2 linked regions of the Struthio camelus genome follow. Each later gene encodes a partner of the first gene's protein in a complex. Links are inferred from orthologs where the notes say so. Each region holds a gene or a part of one and is shown on either strand. Other genes may lie near its edges.

What was found. The genes of interacting proteins can lie anywhere in the genome.
Region 2: the proteins of AP2B1 (region 1) and ARRB1 are in contact, whole or in part, in a crystal structure (PDB 2IV8), measured with the Homo sapiens proteins. The link is inferred for Struthio camelus from reciprocal best matches to the Homo sapiens genes AP2B1 and ARRB1. Residues at the interface, in NP_001273.1 of Homo sapiens: Arg834, Gln835, Phe837, Leu838, Trp841, Lys842, Asn846, Glu849, Ile876, Ala877, Arg879, Val881, Glu882, Gln884, Tyr888, Glu902, Arg904; in NP_004032.2 of Homo sapiens: Asp384, Asp385, Val387, Phe388, Glu389, Phe391, Ala392, Arg393, Arg395, Leu396.

What each region holds. Positions count from the first base shown.
Region 1 is NC_090957.1:14,847,873-14,855,900, reverse strand, and holds the start of AP2B1 (AP-2 complex subunit beta), read left to right. Parts: upstream 1-5,039; 5' UTR 5,040-5,121; intron 5,122-5,708; coding exon of another isoform or gene 5,709-6,250; intron 6,251-7,166; coding exon of another isoform or gene 7,167-7,292; exon of another isoform or gene 7,293-7,600; intron 7,601-7,627; exon of another isoform or gene 7,628-7,762; intron 7,763-8,028. Other genes in the region: PEX12 (peroxisome assembly protein 12), read right to left, coding at 4,640-5,039, 5,709-6,250, 7,167-7,292. UniProt on the Homo sapiens protein: Component of the adaptor protein complex 2 (AP-2). Adaptor protein complexes function in protein transport via transport vesicles in different membrane traffic pathways.
Region 2 is NC_090942.1:223,716,377-223,723,832, forward strand, and holds the start of ARRB1 (beta-arrestin-1), read right to left. Parts: upstream 3,070-7,456; 5' UTR 3,027-3,069; coding exon 2,794-3,026; intron 868-2,793; coding exon 837-867; intron 1-836. UniProt on the Homo sapiens protein: Functions in regulating agonist-mediated G-protein coupled receptor (GPCR) signaling by mediating both receptor desensitization and resensitization processes.

The sequences.
Region 1 (8,028 bases):
AATCAACCCAGAACCAATTATGTGTTTGTTGTGTTTTTTTTTTTCCTCTCCCTAAGAATATATTCTAGTTCCTGACTGGAGAGCAATGTCCTTATTGAACAGAAATGAGATTCGCCCAAAGCAATGATGAGTGAAGTATTATCTGAACTGGTATTGCTGAGACTTTGTGTCTTTGCTCTGACCAGGGCGTGATCACGTAATCTTCTCTCTGAGCTTATTTAGGCTAAGTTCATCTCAGACTTAGATGAAAAGAAACTGTTGTTTCTTGAAAGTGTGTGATGCAGCTCTTAAAAGTAGTGAAAAATATGATTACTTTTCTAGCATTTTTTTTGCAGCAGCAGCAGCAGAAAAAAGTTCAACCTTGATTTGAAAAGTGAGTTGTGTAAATACTTGTTTGGATTTCTGTATCTTGCTGCCACATTGGTTTTATCACTGAGCTTGCTGTGACAGGGGTTTCTTGGCTTTCCTCCCATGGTAAAACATGTCCCACACAGACTCTAGATGGTCTGCCACTGTATCATCCATTTGTAAATACAGTGCGGACTCTGTAAAATGGAGGTTATCCTGTAGAGACCTCATGACCACTTGGTTCAGCTGTCTTATCATCCAATGATTGCGAGCACTGAGACAGGAGTATTTTTAGCAGTGAGCTGTGCTGTTGGGCCTGGCTCTGGTGCTCTGCTCTCTCTCAGGCTGCATGTCAAGATATGAGATGGGAGGGGCTGGCAGCAGCAGCGTAATGTGGCTGCTTCCCTGTTGGTAGGGCAGAGGATGTTAAAATTCGGGTATTGGAAAAAATGCAGTAATCAAGCACTCCCCAAAAGTCTTCACAGGAGAGGGTATTTATTACATGTTATGCACTGGGGTTTCCTGGGAGAAAGTTACTGGGAACACTTTCCCTTTATGCCCTAGGAGGACCAGGCTAGGCAGGAGTCACACAGAGCCCGATATGTGAGCTAGAGCCCAGCATGATTCACATCAGCTGTTTCACAATGATTTGTCTGTTGTATGCAAGGTGTTTTTTTCTTTAAGCTGTGTTATAGACTCAGATTTTTAGTTGTGCATGAGTAGTACAATATACAGCTATGTTTCCGTAACTTCTAAAATCTAAATGCTGTGAAACAAAATGGATTCTCTAGCTCTAGGAAGTGATTTGTATCTCGGAAAGCACAGGAACAATTTCACTAAAGAAAATTTGCAGATAGTATAATGAGTTAGGTTGAATTTTGATTCTTTTGCCTTGATGAACTCTCCAAATATCTTTAGTATTAGAGTCAGTGTTATGCTTTCAAATGGCTGCTTGTGATGGCATGTGACTCCCTAACCTGGAAAGGTATCTAGAAACAAAAGCACCCAGACTCTGTGGGCTGATGCAGAGGGCATTTTTAATTTTGGGGGTTTTGTTCTGGTTGTTTTTTCCAAAAGCCATCAGTATCACCTGGATGTTTGACTTTAGATAGTTTGCATTTAGTGAGGGGTGGGACTAATCGAAACACATGGAGTTGTGTGGGATAAGGTGCAGCCCTTTCACCAGCCACAAAGACTGGGCTAATAAGCAGGTGCAGAAGAAGATATGGAGGTATTCTCTAATCCTGTTCTCATTTTCTTCTAGGTCTCGATGACAGCTTTACATTCACCTCTCACTTGTGTGGAGAGGGAAGCTTCTATGGGGGAGGTGTATGTTTTATGTTGGGTTTTGTTCTTATCAAGCTAGGAGAATAGATATGGTGGTTATCTCTTAACAAGAGAGGCTATGCAGTTTCCGTTAAGGAAGTAGGGAAAGCAACTCAATTGTTAATGCACTCATGTTTTGAACAGTGACCGAGTTGTAATGAAGCTAAGCCGCATTCAAACATTTTTTAAAAAAAACACTGGAAAAATCAAGTTATGACAGTGAGGTATTAGGTAACTCCAGTGCCACTGTTAATGTTGAAGTAATTGTATTAAGCAACAGATCAAAGCTTCCTGAGCGTATATATGATACATGAGTGTATAGCGCTCCCAATTTGTATGTAAATGTGAAGGCTGGTGTAATAAAAGAGTATTTATTTCCTTAACAAGTCTTTCTTTGTATGTCTTGATACCATCACGGCTTTAACAGTACTATTGCAGTGTACAAAGTAGAAAAAGGGGATGTTTGAGTAATGTGCATTGGTTTTGTAGCTTTGTTTAGAGCAGCCAACTTAATGTAACAGGTATTTGGCTACTAAGCACAGGCCAGTTAGCAAAAGCAGTCAGATCCAAACTGGTATCCTGCAGCCACCTGCAGGAACACTAATAAAATCTGCCCGGTAACTGCCAAGTGTGTCACCATTATGGACTTAATGCCTATTAGTCAGATAGGCTTTAAAGAGCAATTTAACATTCAAAAGAATAATTACAGCTGTCCTAAACTGTGAAGCTTAGATGTGGGTGGTTCTGAGCAGGTCCCAGGTGGAGTCGGCCAAATCTGTTTGGCAGGAACTCAGCATTGTACAGCATGGGGGAGGAGAGAGATGGAGTGGAAGGCAGCCAGAGCCGGACAGGAGGCCATCCAGTGGCCACTCTGGAGAGGGAAATAGTTATTAACTCTGAGATCACTCGTTACCTGCTTGCCCAGTTTCTCACTGAGCAAGAGAGAGAGAATCTGGAAGGTATAGAAAGGACCGAAGGAAAACAAACCTATCTTAAAACTGAATAGTCAGTCAAATCCTGCAGCTCTTATTAAATGAGCGGTTGCTCTGGAGTCAATGGGACAGTCAGTGCCATGTCTGTATAATCAGACTGGTTATTTTAAGACCATGTAGCAACAGGGGAGCATCTTGGATAGTGGCTTTTCATTAGAGATGATAATCTCAGTGTATGAAGCAAAACTGATGTAGCAAGTGATGTGAGTTAATATGAAGCCCAAAGCCAGCTATATTAAAAGTGATTTAAAATCTCAGAAAATCTTGCATTCAATGTGATTTCTTTTCCAATAAGCTGTGTGTAAGTACTCTTAACAGCTTTCTAAAGGAAGAGAGGTATCTCTTTTCTATCAATCCCAGAACTACTGGAGGTAAGAAAAAACGTGACAGTTTTTGTTGTTATCCCATAGCGGCAGAGTTAGAAGGGGCTGGCAGTTGTATAGAAATAATAAGCATTGGGGACTTATCTCATTTGTTAGAAAAGTTGTGTGGTGTGTGTTTGTTTGTGTGTTTTTTCCCAGAGCACCTTTGGGAGAATGCAAATTACTGTATTTTTCCAGCCTATTCAATACACTCGTTATCTTGCTCACAGATGAGGGACAATTTTATTGATTTTTTTTTTTCTGAAGCAGGGCTAAAATGGGGGGGGGGAAATGAGATCATTGGTTTTATGGATTAAATGTTAGAGCATATCTCTTAATCTGGAAAGACAGTATACTCTGTGCAGCAAACTCTGCTTCATATTCTATAGGCAATGTCACCGTGATGTCTGGAGCAGATAACTGCTGCTCCCTCGAGATGAGTCAAGAAAATCAACCTTCTGTCAATAAAAATCATGTGTCTGATCAGTCAGTGGTCTGAAGCCAGGACCACCCATAACATCATGCACATTTCCTTCTATTCCCTGTTCAATGTGCTACATGATCAGTCTAGATTGGGACTGGAATAACAGCAATGTAATACTAAATTCAAACACAGATATTACAGCTTTCCAGCCTGCAAAATACTAATCTTTTATCTATGACCATCATCTGCAAAGATAAGAGCAGCTTTAGTCTAGTCTCCTTTGTGCAAATAAAGATCCTAGAGGAGCAAACTTTCTTTTTTCAAACATTAGAAAAGAAACAAATGCAGTTCATTTAGTTCAAATGGGTTCTAAATCAAGAAAGAATTTTGCTTTGTAAAAGCAGATAACAACAGATTTGAGGACACATCTAACAAAAAAAAAAAAACAGTTCACAATTGCTGCTTTAATCTAGTTTGTCTTCCTCCCTGGTAGTCTTGTATCTGTGTTTGTACACATTATACATATCATCTCTTGTTCCTTTAAAGAGTCAAAGCCTTAATTTAGAACTGTTGATGGGAATTAGAGGTGTAATGTTATCATTAATTCAGAGGCGAGTAGCCTGAAAATGCATGGAGGCACTTAAGAATACCATGGTCAGAAAAGAGGTCAAAGTCTGTCTCTACCTCTTTAAGAAGCGCTAGTGCCAGAACCTGCCCCAGGCAGTACTAGAGTCTGTGAAGCGGCTAAGGGTGGAATAGCTCGCCTGGACAATTTTTGTAGCTCTCCAATTTGCTGGCCATACCCTCGAGCAGGATTTTTGCCAGCAGTGCTCTTTGGTTCTCACATCTGCATTCTTATTATCCAAATCAATGTCTCCTCCCATTCAGTTTGCCTTTGAAGGTGTTTCTATGCTGACTGACAGATCGTGACTGTCCTACCCTTCTGGAGCTTTGTCATGGGATGTTTGAATGGCTAAAAAACAAGAGGGCGAGCCTTATCGAAGTTTACCAAGGCAGCAAAAGTCTAATCTGTAGGACTCAAAGGAGCTTTAGAGATCCACTTGCAAGTTGTATTGGTCGATGGTCTTCTCGGGGACATCAGAAAGGGCAAATTCAGGCTCGTTGCTACCCAGTGGCCCTGCCACTCAGTCTCAGATGCATCTCTGTGAAAGCACAGAGCCGGCCTTTCAGCTCTCAGGGGAATACAGTTTGACAAGGTGCTGTAGCTCTGTGGCATAGCCTGTGACTGGGCATCGTTGGTGAGTCTTCACGTAATTATACACGCAGCGGTAGCAAAATACATAGCCAGACGTGGACAGGACCGTGGCATTGGCTCGAATTTTGCGGCACAGCGGGCACATGGTCTTCAGTTTAGGTAAGAGAGCTGAGTCCGCCCCATGGTCAAGGTGTACTGGTGGTGGAGGAGTAGGGAGCGCTGTCAGAGATTTGATCGTCTCTTGGTTTTCCGAGGAGTACCACCACTCCAGGAACTGAAGGAAGAATACGCTGACAGACAGCCCAGTGGACAGGGAGAAGGCAATGCCACCCAAAGCTTTCTTCATTGCTGACTGCACTTGTGCCTTAATGCTGTGGCAGGGAGAGAAGGAAAGGAGAAATTAGCAGTACTGCACATTTGTCCCTCTGCAAACCAAGGCTAAAAAGGTTTGGGGTAAGTTACTGCTCTATACAGCTTCTTAATGCTAAATGATTTTGTTAACATGTTCCATGTTTGTAATGAGACATCTGCTAGGGTGTTGCTCTCAGATTCTTTGTGTTTTAAGAAGAGCATAGCATCTCTAGGAAAATGTCAAGTCCTGTTTTATTCAGAGGTCTAAATCAGAAGAGTTTGGGTTGAGGGGACCTGGATCACAGAACATTTCACTCATGGACCATCATTTTACAGGACATTAAATGTGACCATGACTAGTTGTGGCTAAGTTTCAGTCCTTTTAGCAAAATGGGTACAGTCTGCTTCCCTTAATAGAAAAGGGCAGCTAAAGATTGAATGGAACGGAGGCTGGAGTGCCAAAAAAGCATTCTGATTTTATTAGCACAAACTCCTGTGAAGCTAATGCCTCTTACTTTGTTCCTTATTTACACTTACTATCATGACATTCCCTTTTGGAGCAGGGTTTTGCCACATGTAAACTTCATCTTTCTGGAGAACAAGACAGCTTAACCTAGGGGCGTTGCCTCTACGTCAGCCCACCCACAGAACCTCCTAGCAAGTAGCTGCTAAGCAGAGTTCTAATGTACCTGTGTGTCCGACTCGAGGCGGCTACTGCAGATTTCTTCTCCAAGGCCTGGATATCATCTGCAGTCAGTCTCACCAGGCGAACGCCAGCCAGCTGCAGCATGGGTGAATGATGCTGAGCTTTCCCGAGGATATAGCACAGTTGCTGGATAAGAAACCAGCCCTCCCAGGCCATGTTTACAAATGGATAGGCAGCTAGAAAGGCTCTGTAAAAGCGCTTCCAGGACGATGAGGGAGGGTGGATGGAGTACTCATCCTCTTCCCTCAGACTGGACACCAGTTTCTCTAGCTTTCCTTTCAGGTAAGGAACAAGAACAAGCAAAAGGAGAGACTTCCAGTGCTGCTTCTTTGGCAGGCCAGCACTGGCCAGCGATTGTTTGCAGTCTCCTATTGCTATCCTCTTTAAGCCATAGAAGTTTTCAGAAAAAGAGGCACTGCACCTGGCCAGATACTGCTGCTGGAGCAGTAAATCCAGGAGGATGTAGATCTCATCAAACCAACGCCAGAGGGAGCCATATCGGCCAGGATTCGACTCAGCCAGCACCTATTGAAAGAAACACAAAATGGGGAAGGAGCTGATGGTGCAGACAGATGCTAAATTACAGTAACTGTAAACTATGCCTGCAGTTCATAAAGTGAGCTGAATGGGTCAAAACTGCTATGCTTGCTCACAGCTGTGGCCAAATGTGAATCCTGGTGATGAAAAGCTCAGCTGAGAGAGCGGTGTTCAAACTCTCGACGTTCTCTCTGTGCAGCAGTTTCCCCTCAAAGCATTCACTGTCAAGTATTCACTGTCTACATTACCTGTCCTCGCTAAAGGCATGCCTCCCTGCGTATGAATACAGTTGAGCTCTCTTGAGTCAACGGGACACAAGCCAACTCTGTTTTCCATCTTGATTCTGGCTTGCTTGAATCAAGGGCAGAGGGAGCTTGCATCAGTCTGCACCCTCTGTGCAGGCGCAGACTGCTTGTCCTGCACTTCAGCTACCGTCTTGGACAGGCCATGTAACCCTTCTGCTGAGTTTCCTCTAGGGACCTTCCCCACGACACAACACTGTTGAGAAAGGCGGTTAACGCTTGCCAGGCAGTCTGAAGACAGCTTCCAGTAAGCAGTTTCTGAAGAGCACAAGGGAAATGAGAAACATAATACCGAAGGGACTTGTTTTTTTGGAGAGAGGCTCCTGTAGACTCACAGGGAGGGCGCCCAGCAGCCCCTCACATCGCCTCCGACGCCAGGACCCATGCGCCGCAATAGGGCAACAGGTCTGCTTACGCGCGGGAGCAGCACGCTGCCCAGTAATGAACCCTTCCAGCCACGCACCAAACCCACCACCGCCAACATCTCCTGTCCTCTGGGTGAAGCGTGCGTCGCCCACCGTTTCATGGAGAACAGCCATTTCACAGAAAAGAGCCGTTTCATGGAAAGTGGGCCCAGGGAACGGGAGGCGCCGGGCCCTTACCTTGGCCAGGTGCTGCAGGGCCGGCTTCACGGCGGCCATCAGGCTGTCCTGGGCCACCGCCTCGAAGATGGAGGGCCGGTCGTCGCCGGCCGGGGTGGCCGTGAGGTGGGCCCCGAGCTCGGCCATGGCGCCGCCCCCGCCGGCAGGGGGAGCCGGCGGCCCCCACGCCCTCAACGCGGCGGCGGAGCGCGGCGGCCTCGGGGCTCTCCCCCGGAAGTGGGGCGCGGCGGCGCTCTGTCTCCGCCTCGCGCCCCTCTATGGTGGCAGGGGCGCGGCCGCTCTAGGCGGGGGGAGGGTTGATTCTCGCTCCTCGCGAGTCCTCCCGGCCGCTCCGCTCCGCTCCGCTTCCGCTTCCGCCGCGGCCGCCCCCACAGCCGGTGTGTCCGTCGCCGCCCGCCGCCGTGAGTGGGGCGGGGGCGCCGGGGCACTGGGAGGTGCTGGGGGCACTGGGAGGGGTCGGCAGTACTGGGAGGGGGAAGTGGGAGGTGGTAGGGGATCCTGGGAGGGGGCACTGGGATGGGATGGGGGGGGTACTGGGGTGGAGACTCTACTGGGCCGCTGGAGGGGAGCACTGGGAGGACTGGGAAGGGATAGGGGTGAGTACTGGGAGGGGACCCTGGGGGACTAGGATGAGGGGTGTGTGCTGGGGTGGGGACTGGGTGGGGGGGGTCAGTGCTGGGGGGGACTGGGCAGGGGTGGGGGCGAGATCTGGGGGCCTGGGAGGAGGCTGGGAAAGTGAGTGCTGGAACTGGGAGGACTGGGGGGAATGGGCAGGGGTTGGGGGGCAAATCCTGGAGAATTAGGCAAGGGAGAAGTGCAGGGAGTGATTGCTGAGGGTATGGGGGGGCAAAAGTGGGACAAG
Region 2 (7,456 bases), on another chromosome or scaffold:
CCTTTTGGGGCAGATTTAGGCGTTTTTCGAGGCGCTGGGTGTCCGGCATCGGGCAGGTTGGCGGCGCGTGCAGAGACCCCACGCGCTCGTCACACGGCTGCGGGGCTCAGGCCAGGGGGCGAGTCGCGCAAATCCGGTTTGCGTCCCGCCGCCCGGCCCCGGCAATCCCGCCCGGAGCTCGTTAGCCCCCAGCCCGGCAGCAGCCCGCCATCGCGCCCTCCGGACCGGGCCGGGGTTTTTCCTCCGCCTGCCCGGAGGCTCCCGCGGGGACGGAGAGCGGGAGCGAACCCTTCCCGGAGGGATCTGCCGCCCGGCGAAGCGGCTGCTCCTTCCTCCCTCCTTCCCATCTTCCTTCCTCCTTCCCTTCCTTCCGCCCTCCCTCTTTTCTCCCTTCCTTCCTCTTTCCTTTCCATCTCCCTCCTTGCCTTCCTCCCTCCTTCCCATCTCCCTCCCTCCTTCCCTCCCTCTCTCCCTTCCTCCCTTCTTCTTTCTCTTTCCCTTCTTCCCTCCTCTTCCTCTTCCCTTCCCTTCTCCCTCCCTCGCTCTCTCCCTTCCTTTCCTCTGTGCTTCCCTTCGTCCATCCCTCCCTCCTTCTCCTCCTTTCCTTCCCTCCCTCCCTCCCTCCCTCCCCGGCCGTACATGTCCGACAGCCCAGAAAGGGTCTCGGAGCGACGTCCAGCTCCGAGCGCAAAGAAAAATCGAGGACGGCAGAGAAATGCAGACCCCCCCCATCACCCCCCATCTCCCCCCCACCGCCCCGGCAGCCCCCGTGCGGTCCAGGCTCCAGCAGCGGTGGGACCCCAGCGCCCCCCCGGACCCCCGCGGCCCCCGCTCACCTTCCCGTTGGGGCTGGCTTTCTTGAACACCCTGCAAAAGAGGAGAGGGGAAGGCGCCTTAGCGGGGAAACCGAGGCACGGAGGAGCGAGGTGCCCGGGCCAGCTCCCCCCGCCGCGCAGCCTCTCCTAGAAACGTCGGCGAAACAGGGGGCTGGCGGCCCCGCGCTCCCCCCCCCCCAGCGCGGCACGGCTGGGCGCGCGCCCAGTCCGAGGGGCGCGACGGCAGCCCAGCGAGCCGCCGCCGGGCAGAGCTCTCGCCGAGGGGGGGTCCTGGAGCGCGGGGCCCCCGCCAGCGCCGCGGCATGCCCAGGGGCTGCCCGGCACCGCTGCTGCGCAAGGTGCCGTGCAAGGTGCCGTGCAAAGGCCCTGCTGCGCAAGGTGCCGTGCAAGGTGCCGTGCAAGGTGCCGTGCAAAGGCCCTGCTGCGCAAGGTGCCGTGCAAGGTGCCGTGCAAAGGCCCTGCTGCGCAAGGTGCCGTGCAAGGTGCCGTGCAAGGTGCCGTGCAAAGGCCCTGTTGCACCAGGTGCCGCGCAAGGTGCCGTGCAAAGGCCCTGTTGCACCAGGTGCCGCGCAAGCTGCCGCGCAAAGGCCGCGCTGCCCAAAGCGCTGCCTGAGGGCCCGGAAAGGGCAGGTTTCTGCCTCGCAGGGCGCGCCGAGACGGCCCGAGCCTCCGCAAGGCGCCCAGGGAGCCTGGGCAGAGACGGGGCAGCGCCGAGCGCCAGCCCGGAGCCAGGCTGCAGCGAGGCCGCAGGCAGCGCCCAGCACGGCGCGCGGGCCGCCGGCTCCGGTCACCGGCGGAGGCCGCAGTGACCTCGGCCGCCCCTTCGACAGGCGCACAAAGACCTGCTCTTGCAGCTCAGCTGCCCCGTTTCGTAACCGAACCCCGGGTTAAGCTGCACGAGGGACGTCAGCGTGGCCGCGGGCGCCTGGCATTGCCCCTCTCCGTCCCCATCCCTGGGGGACGTGAGAGGCGGCTGCAAACGCCAGGCGCCCCCGCTATCGGCCCCCCACCCCGGGTCCTTTTATTTTTTTAAAGCGTGGCGAAGCTGGAGCAGGAAAGCAACGCCATCGATTTCCCCTGAACGCCGGGCAGAGGAGCGAGTTTCACCAGGCCTCATGTTAATGTGGCTGCCGGCTCGATCCCATTAGCTCCGCGGCCCGAGAGGGGACCTCGGGGGACAACGCGTCGAGCAACCGCACCGCGCGCTCCGCGGTCAGGCCAGCATCCGGCCGGGCGCGCGGGAAGAGCCGCCGCCGCGCGCGGGGCCACGCGGCTCGTCGCTCCCCCGCGTCCCGGACGCCGTCGCCCCGCGCCAAAAGCCGGCGATCCCTCTCCTCCGGGGGTTTCCCGCGCCCGACGCTCGGCCGAGCCGGGAGGAAAGGAGAAATCCCCCGGCTCGGGCGCCGGGTCGACGGCCACGTGCCTGCCCGAGGCTGGGTGAATCGAATCGGCCAGCGCTTCCCACCCCGCTATTTCCTCCTCCCTATTAATTATCGGCGCTGGTGGCCGCGCTCCTGCCACGGGAAACGGGGCCGAGCAGGGCGGCGCGCAGGAACCGCCGCGGGAACCACCGCCGCCACCACGGGAACTGCCACGACCGCGGGAACCGCCACCGCCGCCACCATGGGAACTGCCACGACCGCGGGAACCGCCGCCACCGCGGGAACCGCCGCCACCGCCACCATGGGAACTGCCATGACCGCGGGAACCACTGCCGCCGCGGGAACTGCCACCGCCGCCAGCACGGGAACTGCCACGACCGCGGGAACCGCCGCCGCCGCGGGAACTGCCACCGCCGCCACCATGGGAACTGCTGCCACTGCAAGAACCAGCGCGACCACGGGAACCACCACTGCGACCACGGGAACCGCTGCCACCACCACGGGAACCACTGCCGCCACCGCGGGAACCACCCCCGCCACCGCGGGAACCGCGCTGGCCCTCGGCCCGGGCACACCTGCAGCCGCACATCCGCAGCTGCCCGCGCGGAGCAGCGGCCAGGACCCCCTCGCTGCCGGCCCTTCCCGCGCTGCCCTTCGCTCGCCTGCCCCGCCTGACGCCCACCCCGTCGCAACACGTTTCCCGCGACCAGCTCGTCGACAACATCGCCCGGCCGGGCCCAAGCAGCTCCTCGCTCCGGGCCTCCTTGGCAAGGAAGCGACTTGGCTCTCGGATCCGGGATGTCTGCATCCTGCTGTTATTAGGAGAGTTTGTTCTGCAAACAAAGGCCAGGAAGCACGAGTCTCCCCCCGGGCCAGCGGCCAGCGCTGCCTCTCTCCCCGCCGCAGCCCGGACAGCTCGGCCCGCCTCGGCGCCCCCCCTCCCCGGCCCGTTCCCGCGGCCGCCTCGGCTCTGTCGGCAGCATCCAGGCCGGGATTTGGGGGGGGGGGGGGGGTCGCACCCTCGGAGAAGCCGTAAATAAGGGGGCGACGCGGCGGCGCCGGCGAGCGCACGGCTCTCACTCCGCCTGCGGACGCTTCCCGCAGCGCAGGGCTTTGAAGGGCGCTCGGCAGGCGGCTGGGAAACGCGGTGCGCTGACGCCCGCGCCGGCCCCGGGGGCACCCGCCGCCCGCGGGCAGGGAAACCCTCACGCCGGCGGCACGGGCGACGTTCAGCGCGGCCGCGCGTGCGAAACGCTGCGGCCCCGCCGCCCGAGCCAGCTGAAAACTTGCTGTTCCCCCCCCCCCCCCGCAACGGAGGCGGCCCAGCGCGCGGCTCTGCGGCCCTGCAAGCCCACGAAGGAATTGGAAGAAATGAGGTTTTTCGGGTGTTTCCGGAGTCTAAAAGCAAACCGGGGCTCTGCAAGCCCGCGACCTCGCCGTGCAAAGCCGCAGCCGACCCGGCCGCCCTCCGCGCCGGCTCCCGGGCTTTTTGGGGGGGGGGGGGGGAACCAAAGCCCCCCCCCCCCGGGTGAATGAGAAGAGATCTGTCACGCGAATCCCCGCGCGCCCTCGTCTGCTCCGGCAGACGCCCCGCGGCTCCCGGGAAACCCTCGCACCGGCGCTCCCCGGGGCAACGCGATGCGGATGTTCGCCCCATCCCCGGCGGGCTCCTTCGAAGGCCGGCAGCGGGGACCCCCGCGAGCCGCTGGCCGGCCACCGTGGGGGGCGAAGGGGCTGTTCTCACGCTCTAGAGGCTAAAACATACTTTTTTTCCGGAAAAAAACTGATGCCAGGGCAAGGGGAGACAGCCAGAGCCGGGCGCATCCGGCCCCCAAATCACGTCCTGCGACCCCACATCCATGCAGCCTTTCCGGAAGGTTCTGCAAAGAGGTTGGCCAAACCCTTGCAAAAGCGGGGCCCAAACCCTTGCAAAAGCGGGGCCCACCCTCCCTGCCCACCTCGGCCTCGGGGCCCGGCCGCCCGGGCAGCCGACGCCGGCGGTGCGCGACGGGCGCCCCCGCACGCGCGTTCGCCGCATCGACGCGCGCCCCTAGCCAGGGCCCAGGCCAGGCAGGGTCTCCCATCCGCAGGATGCTCGAAGCCCCGCAGGGTGACAACGGGCACGACGGCTCCCCCACGTCCCCCCCCCCGCCAGACCTCCAGGCCCAAAACACCCCTCGACCAGGACAACGGGGCCCGGTTGCTCCTGGTTCCCACCCGAACCCAAAAGCAAAAGCGTTTCTCAGCAGCGACGGCTCGTGTGCCCCCACCCCAGCAACGTCCAGGCGCCGGGTCCGGGTGAAAGAGAGTAATAACGTCCGCGTCGCCGATGCCTCTAGGCGCAGCGCCCAGCGGGCACCGGGCTCGGCCCAGCGCTCCCGGGACGCGCGACGCCCCATCGGGGTCGCGCAACCCCCCCGACGCGCTCCCGAAAGGCGCGGCGGCGGCCTGCCCCGCGGCTCGCGTGCTCGACGCCGCGAGAGCGGGCGCTGCCCTCACGCCCAGCCCGGGGGCTCCCGCCTCTGCTCCCCGCCGCCCCTCGGGGCTGCCGGATGAGGCCCCCGGGCTGCGACAAAAGCGGCTCTTGCAGCAGCCCTGCCAGCTGCATCCCTCGCCCCTCCCCAGCTGCAGCTGCGTTTCAGGAAAGGGGGGTTTGCGCGCAGGCGAGAGCTGCCGCCTCCAGCACGCCGACAGCCTCCAGATGTGGCAGGCGAGGCGGCTGCTCGGAGCAGCAGGCTGCGGGCCCGAGCGCACGGGGAGGGGCGGCCGGCGCCGCCGTTCCCACGGCGGGCAGCGCGCCCCGAGCGCCACCGACGCGGGGTGGGGGGGGACCTAGGGGGGGCACACGGGGACCAGGGCAGCCCGCAGCCCCGCTCGAGGGAAGCGCAGCCGTTTCCGCCTTGACCGCGGCCGCCGGCACCGTGCGACCCCGCGTCGCCGTGCCTCAGTTTCCCCTGCGCATAAGCGGCGGCGTGGGAAAGCGGCGCGGCCCCTGCCGGCGCCTCCCCGCCGCCCCCCCCGGCCCCCGACCCCCGCACTCACCGGGTGCCTTTGTCTCCCATGGCCCCCGCGGATCGCGGCCGCTCGCAGGGCAGCGCCGGCCCGAGCTTGGAAAATTACTGGGCGGCAGCTGCGCCCGGTCCGGCTCCGCTCCGCTCGGCTGGCCCGGTCCGGCTCGGCTCGGTTCGGCTCCGCTCCGCTCGGCTCCGCTCGGCTCCGCTCGGCTGTCCCGGTCCGGATCGGCTCGGCTCGGCTCCGCTCGGTTCGGCTCCGCTCGGCTCCGCTCGGCGCCGCTGTCCCGGCTCGGCCCGGCTCGGCTCGGCTCCGCTCGGCGCCGCTGTCCCGGCTCGGCCCGGCTCGGCTGTCCCGGCTCGGCTCGGCTCGGCTCGGCTCGGCTGTCCCGGTCCGGCTCGGCTCGGCTCGGCTGTCCCGGCTCGGCCCGGCTCGGCTCGGCTCGGCTGTCCCGGCTCGGCTCGGCTGTCCCGGTCCGGCCCGGCTCGGCTCGGCTGTCCCGGCTCGGCTCGGCCCGGCTCGGCTCGGCGCTGCAGAGCGCAGCCCCGCGGCGCGGCGCGGCCGCCTCCGCCCGCCCCCGAGCGGCGCGGCGCGGGCGGGGCGGGCCGCGGACACGCACGCGGGGGCGCGCAGCCACCCACCCGCGCGGCGTGGAGGTTCCGTTGGGGAGGGCGGACACGCACACGCGCGCCCCCGCGCGCAGGCAGCCGTGCATGCGCACACACGCGGCCCGGGTGCGTGCACGCACAGCGCCCCCCCCCCCCCCCCCCGCCCCTCCTCTCCGGGAGAGCGAGCGCCCCCCCCCCCCCCAAAGCCAGCGCTGTGTGCACAATCACGCGCCCCCCGCGTGCACGGGTGCACACACACCCACGCACACGACTGTACGCACGCACCCCCCCCCATGCGTGCACGCAAACACTTGTGTGCATGCACACGCCCATGGGCACAAGCATACGCACACCCCTGTGCACACCCCCCATGTGTGCACACACACACACGCACACACACACACCCCTGTACGCACGCACCCCCCCACGCAAACACTTGCGTGCATGCACACCCCCATGTGCACGAGCACACGCAGGCCCCTGTGCACACACACACTACCCATGTGCACACACGCACGCACCCATGTGCACACACACACACAAACCCCAGTGTGCATGCACACACCCCTGTGCACAAGCGCACACACACACACAGCCGCCTGTGTGCATGCACACCCCCATGTGCACGAGCACACGCAGACCCCTGTGCACACACACACTACCCATGTGCATGCTCACACACACGCAAACCCCTGTGTGCATGCACACCCCCCTGTGCACAAGCGCACACACACACACACACACACAGCCCCCTGTGTGCATGCACACCCCCATGTGCACGAGCACACGCAGGCCCCTGTGCACACACACACTACCCATGTGCACACACGCACCCATGTGCACACACACACAAACCCCTGCGCACACACACGCACAAACTCCTATGTGCATGCACACCCCCCTGTGCACGAGCACACGCAGACCCCTGTGCACACACCCCCCCCATGCGCACACCCCCCCAGGCCTCTGCGTGCATGCACACACCGGTGTGCAAGCACACCCCACGAGTGCCCACCCAGCCCTGAGTCCCTGCGCATACACCATGTGCGCATACACCCCTGTGCACCAACCCACATACCTGCGTGCACACACACTCCTGTGCACACACACTCCTGTATGCACGCACACCCACCCCGTGCACGCACACCCACCCACCCGTGAGCACGTGCCCCCACGCGAGCACCCCCACGTGCATGCACACCCCTGTGAACACACACATAAACCTCTATTCACACACACCCCCCGTGCACACACAAGCACGCATGTGAGCACACACTCACGCATACACCCGTGTGCATGCACAGCCCCCACGTGACCACACACACCCTTTTGAGCACGCACACCCCCCTACCCTTACAGGCACACAAACTTGTGTGCAAACCAGCACACGCCCGTGTGCACACCCACCCACCCACGTACCCCCCCCATCCCTCACAGCTGGACTGATCCATCCCTCCCTGCACCACGGCCTCTCAGGGCAGGGTCCCAGCACCCCCGTGGGTCCCAGCCCCCCATGGGTCCCAGCACCCCCGTGGGTCCCAGCCCCCCATGGGTCCCAATGCTCCCGTGAGTTTCACCACCACCATGATGTTCCCAGCCCCCTCCATGGGTCCCAGCA